Arabidopsis thaliana: one gene and its partner. The protein of the gene in region 1 purifies or fractionates together with the protein of each later gene. This does not show direct contact. Each region holds a gene or a part of one and is shown in the gene's direction. Other genes may lie near its edges.

What was found.
Region 2: the proteins of AT2G37230 (region 1) and GCD1 fractionate together in Arabidopsis thaliana (co-fractionation; one large-scale study listed by BioGRID). This does not show direct contact.

Annotation. Positions count from the first base shown.
Region 1 is NC_003071.7:15,636,124-15,641,346, reverse strand, and holds AT2G37230 (Tetratricopeptide repeat (TPR)-like superfamily protein), read left to right. Parts: upstream 1-1,578; 5' UTR 1,579-1,896; coding exon 1,897-4,170; 3' UTR 4,171-4,450; downstream 4,451-5,223. Other genes in the region: AT2G37240 (Thioredoxin superfamily protein), read left to right, coding at 1-21, 99-144, 231-290, 378-414, 507-586, 684-775, 876-936, 1,053-1,112; AT2G37220 (RNA-binding (RRM/RBD/RNP motifs) family protein), read left to right, coding at 5,016-5,223.
Region 2 is NC_003076.8:25,009,862-25,015,384, forward strand, and holds GCD1 (ribosomal protein L20), read left to right. Parts: upstream 1-2,095; 5' UTR 2,096-2,214; intron 2,215-2,324; 5' UTR 2,325-2,365; coding exon 2,366-3,114; intron 3,115-3,352; coding exon 3,353-3,542; intron 3,543-3,933; coding exon 3,934-4,135; coding exon of another isoform or gene 4,136-4,146; exon of another isoform or gene 4,147-4,503; coding exon 4,504-4,625; 3' UTR 4,626-4,951; downstream 4,952-5,523. Other genes in the region: AT5G62260 (AT hook motif DNA-binding family protein), read left to right, coding at 416-498, 616-747, 835-996, 1,080-1,487. UniProt on the Arabidopsis thaliana protein: Essential for fertility (male and female gametophyte functions and development). Required for the integrity of female gametic mitochondria. Modulates male gametophyte functions, including pollen tube growth and style penetration.

The DNA of each region.
Region 1 (5,223 bases):
TGCATTTGCTCGTCATTTTGGGTAATTTTCTCATTATATTTGATGATTCTGGTTTATGACTATGTGTAACTATCTAAGATTGCTTGTTATGTTTTCAGATGTGTGCTCTGTCGGAAACGAGCAGCTTATCTTGCAGAAAAGAAGGTAACAGAATGATCTTTGGTTTAAAAAGATTGGCCATTTATACACAATTGAAGTCATTGAGTGATACCTTTGAGATTTTTGTTTAGGATGTGATGGATGCATCTGGTGTTGCTCTTGTTCTGATCGGACCGGGAAGCATCGATCAGGTAAACAACATTTTGAATACGCAATTTTTGTAAGCGTAAGCAGTTTTAAGCTGCTGCTTCTCACGTTATGACCATCTATGTATGCAGGCTAATACTTTTGTGGAACAGACTAAGTTTAAAGGAGGTATGTTTTCTCTTGATTACTAAAAAAGCCTGGTGAGTAGTTCCTTTTATGAGATGATCTAATTATCTGTAATCAACTTTCTCTCAATACAGAGGTCTATGCGGATCCAAACCACGCATCATACGAGGCGCTTGAGTTCGTTTCAGGGGTTTCTGTTACATTTACACCCAAAGTAGAGTGACTTCTACTTAGCATATTATAATTAGGTAACCAAAATGTTCTGCTTTTGTGGTCTCAGACTCTCAGTAGCTTCTGTGGCATTATTATAGGCTGCTATGAAGATACTAGAGTCTTACATGGAAGGATACCGCCAAGACTGGAAACTCTCGTTTATGAAAGATACAGTTGAAAGAGGCGGCTGGTAAGTTTAAGAGTATATGAATCATTCATTCCTTCTGGTTAGAGATCGATGAGATTACTTTCCGTTTTTCTTAACAACTATTGTCACGGACCTTGTGCAGGCAACAAGGCGGAATCTTAGTTGCTGGCCCTGGGAAAGATAACATCTCTTATATACGCAAGGTAATCTCTTTCGTCTAATCTTGATTGTGAAACTAGCCTCATATTTGGGAACCTAGTATACCGATATATCTTTTCAAACACATTGTTGTTTTCAACAATTTGTTTGCGGATTTCAGGACAAAGAAGCCGGTGATGACCCGCCTGTTGAAGAGATCCTTAAAGCGTGTTGTGCTTGAAGAGTTGAAAGAATCGCAATCGAAAAATAGATATTTAAAAAACAGTAACGACACTGCTATGCCCGGATACTCAACTAAATCCATAAAACACCATTACCACAATCACAACGACCACATTTGATATATAGGTAGGGAAAGAAAAAAAGACAAGTCGTAGACCGAAAGTAATGATCATTGTTTCTTGATTTTTGATGATCATTATGACTTATGAGTCGAGATCAGCGAAGGATAAGTGTGGCCCTTGCTAGAAGATATATATTTTTATTTCCAAATAAAGATGTACATCAAATTCACATAATCCAGTTATCGAAACAATTTTGTCTCTATTGATATGATAACATAGTTGATCAAAGGTAAGACTATAGATTACTATCTTGAAGTCCCACAAAATATGTCAGCTTAGGCATCTCCTATCACCATCCAACATTTGTTTAAGGTTACATTTCAAATTACTTTATACATGTTTGTTATTCCTCATAAGAACTTTAAACATTAATAAAAACAAATAAATTATAGATAACAGTGTGGAAATTACATGTTGGTCAACACTAGATACGATTCTAGGCCCATCTGTTATGCACGAAACCGGGCTGGATAGTAACACTTAACAGGCCGGGTTCAAGTTCAGAAAATACCCGACCCGGAACAAGATTTGGATCCAGGACTCCATTTCTTCCCTAAACTAAAACCCTACTCATCACTAAAAACTCTTGCTTCCTTTGTCCTTCCATGTCGAATTGAAAATTTTCAGAAAAACTCAGAGACAAAGGTTCCATTTCCTGTAATGGCTTTCATTTCCAGATCTAAACGCTACCAATCAAAAGCTAGGGTTTATCTCTCGCTTCCCAGATCATCAAACTCATCTCTCTTCTCACTCCCTCGTCTATTCAGCACCATCGAAGAAACCCAAACTCCAGCAAACGCAAACCCAGAAACCCAATCTCCAGATGCAAAATCCGAGACGAAGAAGAATCTGACTTCTACAGAGACGAGACCACTCAGAGAGAGGTTCCAACGAGGTAAGCGTCAAAACCATGAAAAGCTAGAGGATACAATATGTAGAATGATGGATAATCGTGCTTGGACGACTCGTTTACAGAACTCAATCCGAGATCTTGTACCTGAATGGGATCATTCTTTAGTCTATAATGTATTGCACGGTGCTAAGAAACTTGAGCATGCTCTTCAATTTTTCCGGTGGACGGAGAGATCTGGATTGATTCGTCATGATAGAGATACACATATGAAAATGATTAAGATGCTTGGAGAGGTTTCGAAGCTTAATCATGCTAGGTGTATTTTATTGGATATGCCTGAAAAGGGTGTTCCTTGGGATGAGGATATGTTTGTGGTGCTTATTGAGAGTTATGGAAAAGCTGGGATTGTTCAAGAGTCTGTTAAAATCTTTCAGAAGATGAAGGATTTGGGTGTGGAGAGGACGATTAAGTCGTATAATAGTTTGTTTAAGGTGATTTTGAGGCGTGGTAGGTATATGATGGCGAAACGGTATTTCAATAAGATGGTTAGTGAGGGTGTTGAGCCAACGAGGCATACTTATAATCTAATGCTGTGGGGGTTCTTTTTGTCTTTGAGGTTAGAGACTGCTCTGAGGTTCTTTGAAGATATGAAAACTAGAGGGATCTCGCCGGATGATGCTACGTTTAATACTATGATCAATGGGTTCTGCCGGTTTAAGAAGATGGATGAGGCAGAGAAGTTGTTTGTGGAGATGAAAGGGAATAAGATTGGGCCTAGTGTTGTGAGTTACACCACGATGATTAAAGGATATCTTGCGGTGGACCGAGTTGATGATGGGTTGAGAATCTTTGAGGAGATGAGATCTTCTGGTATTGAGCCTAATGCTACTACGTATTCGACGTTGTTGCCTGGTCTGTGTGATGCAGGGAAAATGGTGGAGGCTAAGAATATCTTGAAGAATATGATGGCGAAACACATTGCTCCAAAAGATAACTCGATCTTTCTTAAGCTTTTGGTGTCTCAGAGCAAAGCAGGGGATATGGCGGCAGCCACTGAGGTGCTCAAAGCCATGGCTACACTGAATGTTCCAGCAGAGGCGGGACACTATGGGGTTTTGATTGAGAACCAATGCAAGGCTAGTGCATACAATCGTGCTATCAAGCTTTTAGATACGCTTATTGAGAAAGAAATCATATTGAGGCATCAGGATACTCTGGAAATGGAGCCCAGCGCTTACAACCCAATAATCGAGTATTTGTGCAACAATGGCCAAACGGCAAAAGCAGAAGTGCTTTTCAGGCAGCTGATGAAAAGAGGTGTCCAAGACCAAGATGCCTTAAACAATCTAATCCGTGGTCATGCAAAGGAAGGAAACCCAGACTCTAGTTACGAGATTCTGAAGATAATGTCGAGGAGAGGTGTCCCTAGAGAATCAAACGCATATGAGCTGCTCATCAAGAGCTACATGAGCAAAGGTGAGCCTGGAGACGCGAAAACCGCACTGGACAGCATGGTCGAAGACGGGCATGTCCCAGACTCATCGCTTTTCAGGTCAGTGATTGAGAGTTTGTTCGAGGATGGTAGGGTGCAGACAGCAAGCCGTGTGATGATGATCATGATAGATAAAAACGTTGGTATCGAAGACAACATGGATTTGATTGCCAAGATCTTGGAAGCCCTCTTAATGAGAGGACACGTAGAAGAAGCCCTGGGGCGTATAGATCTTCTGAACCAAAACGGACACACAGCTGATCTGGACAGCCTCTTATCTGTCTTAAGCGAGAAAGGGAAGACGATTGCAGCATTGAAGCTGTTAGATTTCGGGTTGGAGAGAGATCTCAGCTTAGAGTTTTCGAGCTACGACAAAGTGTTGGATGCGCTTTTAGGAGCTGGGAAGACTCTGAATGCGTACTCAGTTCTTTGTAAGATCATGGAGAAAGGAAGTTCAACAGATTGGAAGAGCTCTGATGAACTGATCAAAAGCTTGAACCAAGAAGGGAACACAAAGCAAGCTGATGTTCTTTCTAGAATGATCAAGAAGGGACAAGGAATCAAGAAACAAAACAATGTTTCTCTATAGAAACTTGACAAAGTGATTCTTTCTTAAGTTATTCTCCTTTCATTGTTGGTTCAAGTCAAGTCAACAACTTCAGTTATCTTCTCCAAATAAATCCTTTTTTGAAACTTGTTTTGAAGGACGCGTTTGTATGATCATTCTGTGTTTTCTTTTTGGTAGGAATTGTATCGTTCCTGATTTAGTTTCTTAACCTCTTGAAAACGTTAAATACGTAAAAGATTTTTTTCGAAGATTTGTGTTTGGAACAAGAGTTGCATCTTCCATTGGCTGTTAGTAAAATATCTTATCTTCTCATAGATTTTTAGCTTCAGCATGAGACGTGCCATCTCCACTGTCCATCCAAAATTCGACGGTCCAGATCTCATCTCATCTATCATCACACTTCATATTATGACAAGTAGTTAGTAGACTGTCCCAATAAAATCACAACCAAACACAACTAATTTAAGTGAGAAAAGCACATAACTTTATCACAAAAAATATTTAGAAAAGTAAATACAATAAGCATACTAAAATGCAAAACGAAACAATTTGCGACATGTATTAAATTTTTTGTATATTACTACTAAACAAGCGAAAAATAAAATAATTCCTATCATTTATGTGGAAACAAATAGTTGCAAAGAAAATAAAAATTCTTACAAAAAAAACAGAAATCAGAATATTGAGCCTAAAAAATAGTTTGAGGTAAAATTACAAAATAAAATAAGTTTGAGATATTTGTGCAAAGAACTTAATATATTTATTCATTTGCCCCATAAATACCAAAGACACTGCATCTTATCTCCACTCTCAAAATCATCTTCTTCACCCAAAAACCCCTAAAAGCCTTATCCCTTCTTCTTCCCATGGCTGCTTCAGCTTCGTCTCTCGCTCTCTCTTCCTTCAACCCTAAATCTCTTCCTTTCGGCGTCTCCAGACCTGCCTCCGTTTCCCTCTTATCTCCTTCCCTCTCCTTTAAACTCAATTCCGACTCCGTTTCCTTCTCCATCGCCGCCAAATGGAACTCTCCCGCTTCTCGCTTCGCCCGTAACGTTGCGATTACCTCAGAGTTCG
Region 2 (5,523 bases), on another chromosome or scaffold:
TTTTGAGATGTTGGGAAGTGGGACCAACATAACTGGATTTTGCTGGGTACACTTTTGTCTGAAGAAGCTATTACACTCAGACCAGTTAGAGACAGAGAAAGGGAATCTGCTGATGCTGACCAAACAAAAACAGAAATAAAAAGAAGATTTTGTCTTTAAAAAAAAAAATACAAAGACAGAATAATCTCTGTCTCTTCCTTTTTATCTTAGAAGATAAGTATGTCTAGTTGTGATTATAAGTTGTTTAGCAGATCTTACGATTTCTCATTATCTGTTTTAATTACTGTGTGAATAAAAAGAGATTTAGATTATTAGTTGGTCTTTGTTTTGAATCATGGAGTTAGTTGCTTGAGGATTAGGATTAATTAATTAGCTGATTAGACTAATGCAAACTCTGTTTTACTATCTCTTGCAGCTCCTACTCCTCCTCTTCCTGGGCTCTCATGCTATGTGGGTGCAAATTTTACGACCCATCAATTTACTGTCAATGGCGGTGAGGTAATAAATTTCCCACAGAGGATTCTTTTGTTTTCTTTCTTCAACACGGTGCTTGTAACTCAAGCTTTGGTATTAAATTCTATCAGTCTTTGTTTGAGAATTTCTTGTTTTGATCAGGATGTGACAATGAAGGTTATGCCGTATTCGCAACAAGGATCTCGAGCTATCTGCATTCTTTCTGCAACTGGTTCGATCTCTAATGTCACTCTTGGTCAACCTACCAATGCAGGTGGCACTCTTACATATGAGGTAACAAAACATTGAATCAAATTTCGTTAGTACCTCGTTTTGAAATATATATCGAGTAAAACTGTTATGTGTTTTTTCTTTTCTAAGGGTCGGTTTGAGATACTATCGCTATCTGGTTCCTTTATGCCTACTGAAAATGGAGGAACAAAAGGTCGGGCTGGTGGGATGAGCATTTCTTTAGCCGGACCAAATGGCAATATATTTGGTGGTGGCCTTGCCGGTATGCTTATAGCAGCTGGTCCTGTTCAGGTGACACGATTTGATTACATGAATGAAACATATTTACAGATTCAGGAGTATAGAAAACTCTAAAGTCTTATAATATGTGACAGGTGGTAATGGGAAGTTTCATTGTGATGCATCAAGCAGAACAAAATCAGAAGAAGAAACCTAGAGTTATGGAGGCTTTTGCTCCACCACAACCACAAGCACCACCACAACTGCAACAACAACAACCTCCTACTTTTACCATAACAACCGTGAATTCAACTTCTCCTTCGGTGAACACCGTAGAGGAGCAGAAACCACAAGCTTATGGTGGTGGTATAGTGAGACCGATGGCTCAAATGCCTTCTTCTTTCCAAAACGACAATTCAACTATGAACAATTTCACACCGGCCTATCATGGATACGGGAATATGAACACTGGTACTACTCACAAAGAAGAACATGAAGACGAAGATGGTGGTGATGATGATGATGATTCAGGCGATACTAGGAGCCAATCTCATAGTGGTTGAGCAATTCTCTGATCAAAGTCAGAAAGTTTTCTTGTGTAGAAAGGAAGGGAGCTTAAAGGAGTGCTTTTTTTTAGAGGGTTGTTTTAGTTGTGTGAGGGTTTTCTTCTTTTGTGTGCTTTTCTAATTTCTAGGGTTATTCTTCTTTGTGATCGGTTTAGATTTAATCATGTCGAAGTCATAGACTAAACGATGTTCTTATTGTTGAGGTCATTGGGATTCAAATTTAGTAAGACTTTTGTGATATGGTTCATATTCTTGCAAAGTCCATTCATAAGATTCACTACAAACAAATGTTTTTGATGTATAATACAAAGTAGGAGTACTATAAAATCCTACCTGTGATTCATCATTATTTGTCTATGTCATTAAAACATTCATCAGTTTAAAAATTGCTTCAAGTCTAGATCGTGCGTAATTGCAAAAGTCTATATAATTTCTGTTCCACATACACAGACTCATCAGTGGATTCTGGGTTTAAATTGTAACAAATAAAAAGTCAAGATACAAAAGGAAGTGAGCATAACTAAAGCAAAACAACTATAAGGTGATATTTAAAATAAATAAAGAAATATAGGGGTTAAAACATAAATACAAACTCTTCGCTAATTCTCAAAACCCTTCCCTTTCCTTTATCGCAGTCGTAACTGGCCTCCGTTGGTCTCTATCGTGACTCCCTTCACGCCATTAATTCCGATTAATCGGAGCTTCGACTTCTCATCTTCCTTGGGTAACTCGCTCTACCTTATCTTCATGTAATCAAAATTCGAACTTTTTGTCTGTGTGTTTTAGTTGTTTATTGGGTAAGTTACTAGATCTTCTCTTTCGATTTTGTTTCAGCGTTCGTGCGATTCAACGTTTGATTTGAAGAATCAGTAGCAATGTATAACCTTAGTAGGATCATTTATCGTTTCTCCTCGGTTTCACTTAACCCTAGCACGAGAGCATCTGGGTTTCTACTTGAGAACGCTTCATCAAAAATCTTACAATCTGCTACGAATCGAGCATTTTCTGCAAAATCAGGATCTGATGGAGTTGGAGGCGATGATAACGGCTGGAATATTTCAACAGGAGGATCATTTGGTGGTACAGGATCTGCTGATCTTGATTGGGACAATAAATCTATGTGGTCTACTGGTTTAACTAAGGAGCATTTCGATGGTGTCTCCGTTGGTCGTCAGAAGAACGCGGCGAATCCTTCTTCTGATAACACCCCTTCTGATTCGGGTGATGTAATGAGCAAATTGGGTCCAAAGGAGGTAGCTTTGGTTAATGAAATGAATGAGTATGATGATTTGCTTAAAGAGATTGAGCAAGATAATAGGCAAGGCAGGGCTTTTGTTGATGGGATTAAACAGAGAATGATGGAGATCAGTGTGTTGTTGAAGCAAGTTAAAGAGCCAGGTGCTAGAGGGTCTTATCTTAAGGACTCTGAGAAGACTGAGATGTATAGATTGCACAAAGAGAATCCTGAGGTGTATACTATTGAGAGGCTTGCTAAGGATTATAGGATTATGAGGCAGCGTGTTCACGCCATTCTTTTTCTTAAAGAAGATGAAGAAGAAGAGGAGAGGAAGCTTGGTCGTCCTTTGGATGATTCTGTTGACCGTTTGCTTGATGAGTACCCTGAGTAAGTTACTTTACATGGACTAGTATTTCTATACCTTGGTATAATGTTACTTCAGTTTTACATGAATTGAAATGGAGTAACTGTGTGTACTCTCTTTTATTTAGTCTTCTTTATAGCCAAAATAGTTAAGGTAGTTGGATCTAGCATTGTTAGTGAACGATCATGATGCAAACTTGAATAGGTTGCGGATTATGTGGCTTCGTCTTCCTTTAACCCTCATTTTGATATTGGTATACAGGTTCTTCATTTCGCATGACCGGGAATTTCATGTGGCCTCACTTAATTACAAACCCGACTTCAAGGTCATGCCAGAAGGATGGGATGGTACAATCAAAGATATGGATGAAGTCCATTATGAGATCTCAAAGAAAGAGGATGACATGCTTTACGAAGAATTTGTCCGAAGGTTTGAGTTCAACAAAATGAAAGTAAGGCCCTTCTTTTGCCCACTTGAGTATGCATTGACTTAGTAAACCATTACTACATTTGGTCTATTGAGACATTTTCCCATCCATATGTTAATTATCAAGTGACCTGCTTGCAACTTAGAAGGAAAACTTGAGACTAGATGCAAGTTTGGAACCCTCTATTCTAAATTTGGTAACTTGTAAAATAACCTTGAAAGATTGAAAGTAATAATGGTATTGCAACTTGCTTGTGGATTGTTTAAAAGGTTATTGGTTTGAATAGATCCACGCCTTTTGATTGATATATAACATCAGCGTTCCTGCTTGAGTTCTTGCTGAGTTATTAGACGTTCTTTGGTCATTTCTCCTTGGTGATAACAAACGTTACTTTACCTTTTGCTCTCTAAACCAGTGGAGAGGAGAAGTGATGTGCCACAAGTACAGCAGGAGACGTTCATCAGAGGGATGGAAAATCACGGTTGAGAAATTGGGTGCTAAGGGCAAACGTGGAGCCGGAGGTGGCTGGAAGTTTATGAGTCTTCCAGATGGATCAAGCCGACCACTCAACGAAATGGAGAAGGTCTATGTTAAGCGTGAAACCCCACTACGTCGCCGTAAGATCTAGACTCCATCAATGGTTATATCAGGATGGGAATGTTATGTCTCCTGTGGGTTCTTGTTTGATTCTGATTTTGCTTCTGTTTGATCTTAAGTTGAATAGAATAAGATGGGTAGCTTTTGTTTTTCGTTTAGCTCTCTCTAACTTTATCAGTGAGGTTCAAATAAATCATAAGACACAGTGTTGTTTTAATAGAATCATGATCTTGTATTAGAATTCTCTGTTATGTTTAAGAAGGTTCCTTCATCGTTTGAAACGAATTGAAAGATGATTTAGAGAATCTTGTCCTAATTTGTTGTGGTATGTTAAAAGTTGTGGTGCGTTTGGCAAAGCTAAAATAAAAGTATGTTTGTTTTTGTCTAGGAAGCATTATATCAACGGAGGTGATGCGTTACTCGCCCGCGAACCAGAAGCGGAGGTCGAAGCGGAAACAGAAGCGGAAGGAGAGGCGCATAGCATGTCTCAAAGCCGGTAAGCAAACGTGATTCCAAAAATGAGGTGTTTTGGAAGCGTAGTGAAACCACATGACTCTAGTTTGGAAACGTTGGTGGTGTGGATCGGAAGCGTCGATGGTGACTTGCAATTCTAATTTTGGGTTTATAATTTGTTTTGTGGCCCAACTTACCTTGGTCACCATAAGCATTTAATGTTTGGTATTTTAGGTTATTTCATTTTTGCTAATATATTCAAACAAACATATAAAATAAAAAGACAAATCACCACCCATGATATTAAAAAAAAAACACTAATAAAAGATGATGTCTCCTGGAATGGTCGACGCAGAATCTGTAGCCACTCACTGTTCTTTATCGTTGTCTCCTCCTCAACATTATCCCAATCCCACGTTCGCTTAATTTTTTAATTTTTAGGTTGGATTTTATTTTTCATCAACCATATAAAATCATTGAATAGACCCATTCTTTTATCCCAACCTTTGAATTCTTTACCTCCTCCCACTTACAATTATTCGAGATTTAGTTTGAATACATGTATACTTCCGGTGATTTGATCTTGGTCGGAAAAAACAATCTTTTACGACTTTTCTGAAGTATGTCGCGACGATAAAGACTATTGAGGATTCATGTCTACGTCTACGGTTTCAAAATGTCTTATAATGTCTACTGTGTAGTACATGCATCGAACTCCAATTATACCTACACGTACGTATTTAATAAAGTTTTGTGCTATTTAAATTTGTATACGATCTAAACATTTCTAATGTATTTTGAACGTCGGACCAGTAAAATATATGAAATCGATCGAATGTAGTAGAATTTAGAAGTTCTCTAAATATTTGTTTTGCTATTTTTTGTTATGTTTTTGTCAAACTTTTGATATTTTTCTTTCTTATCTCTTTGTTCATGATCTACAATTATCAAATCA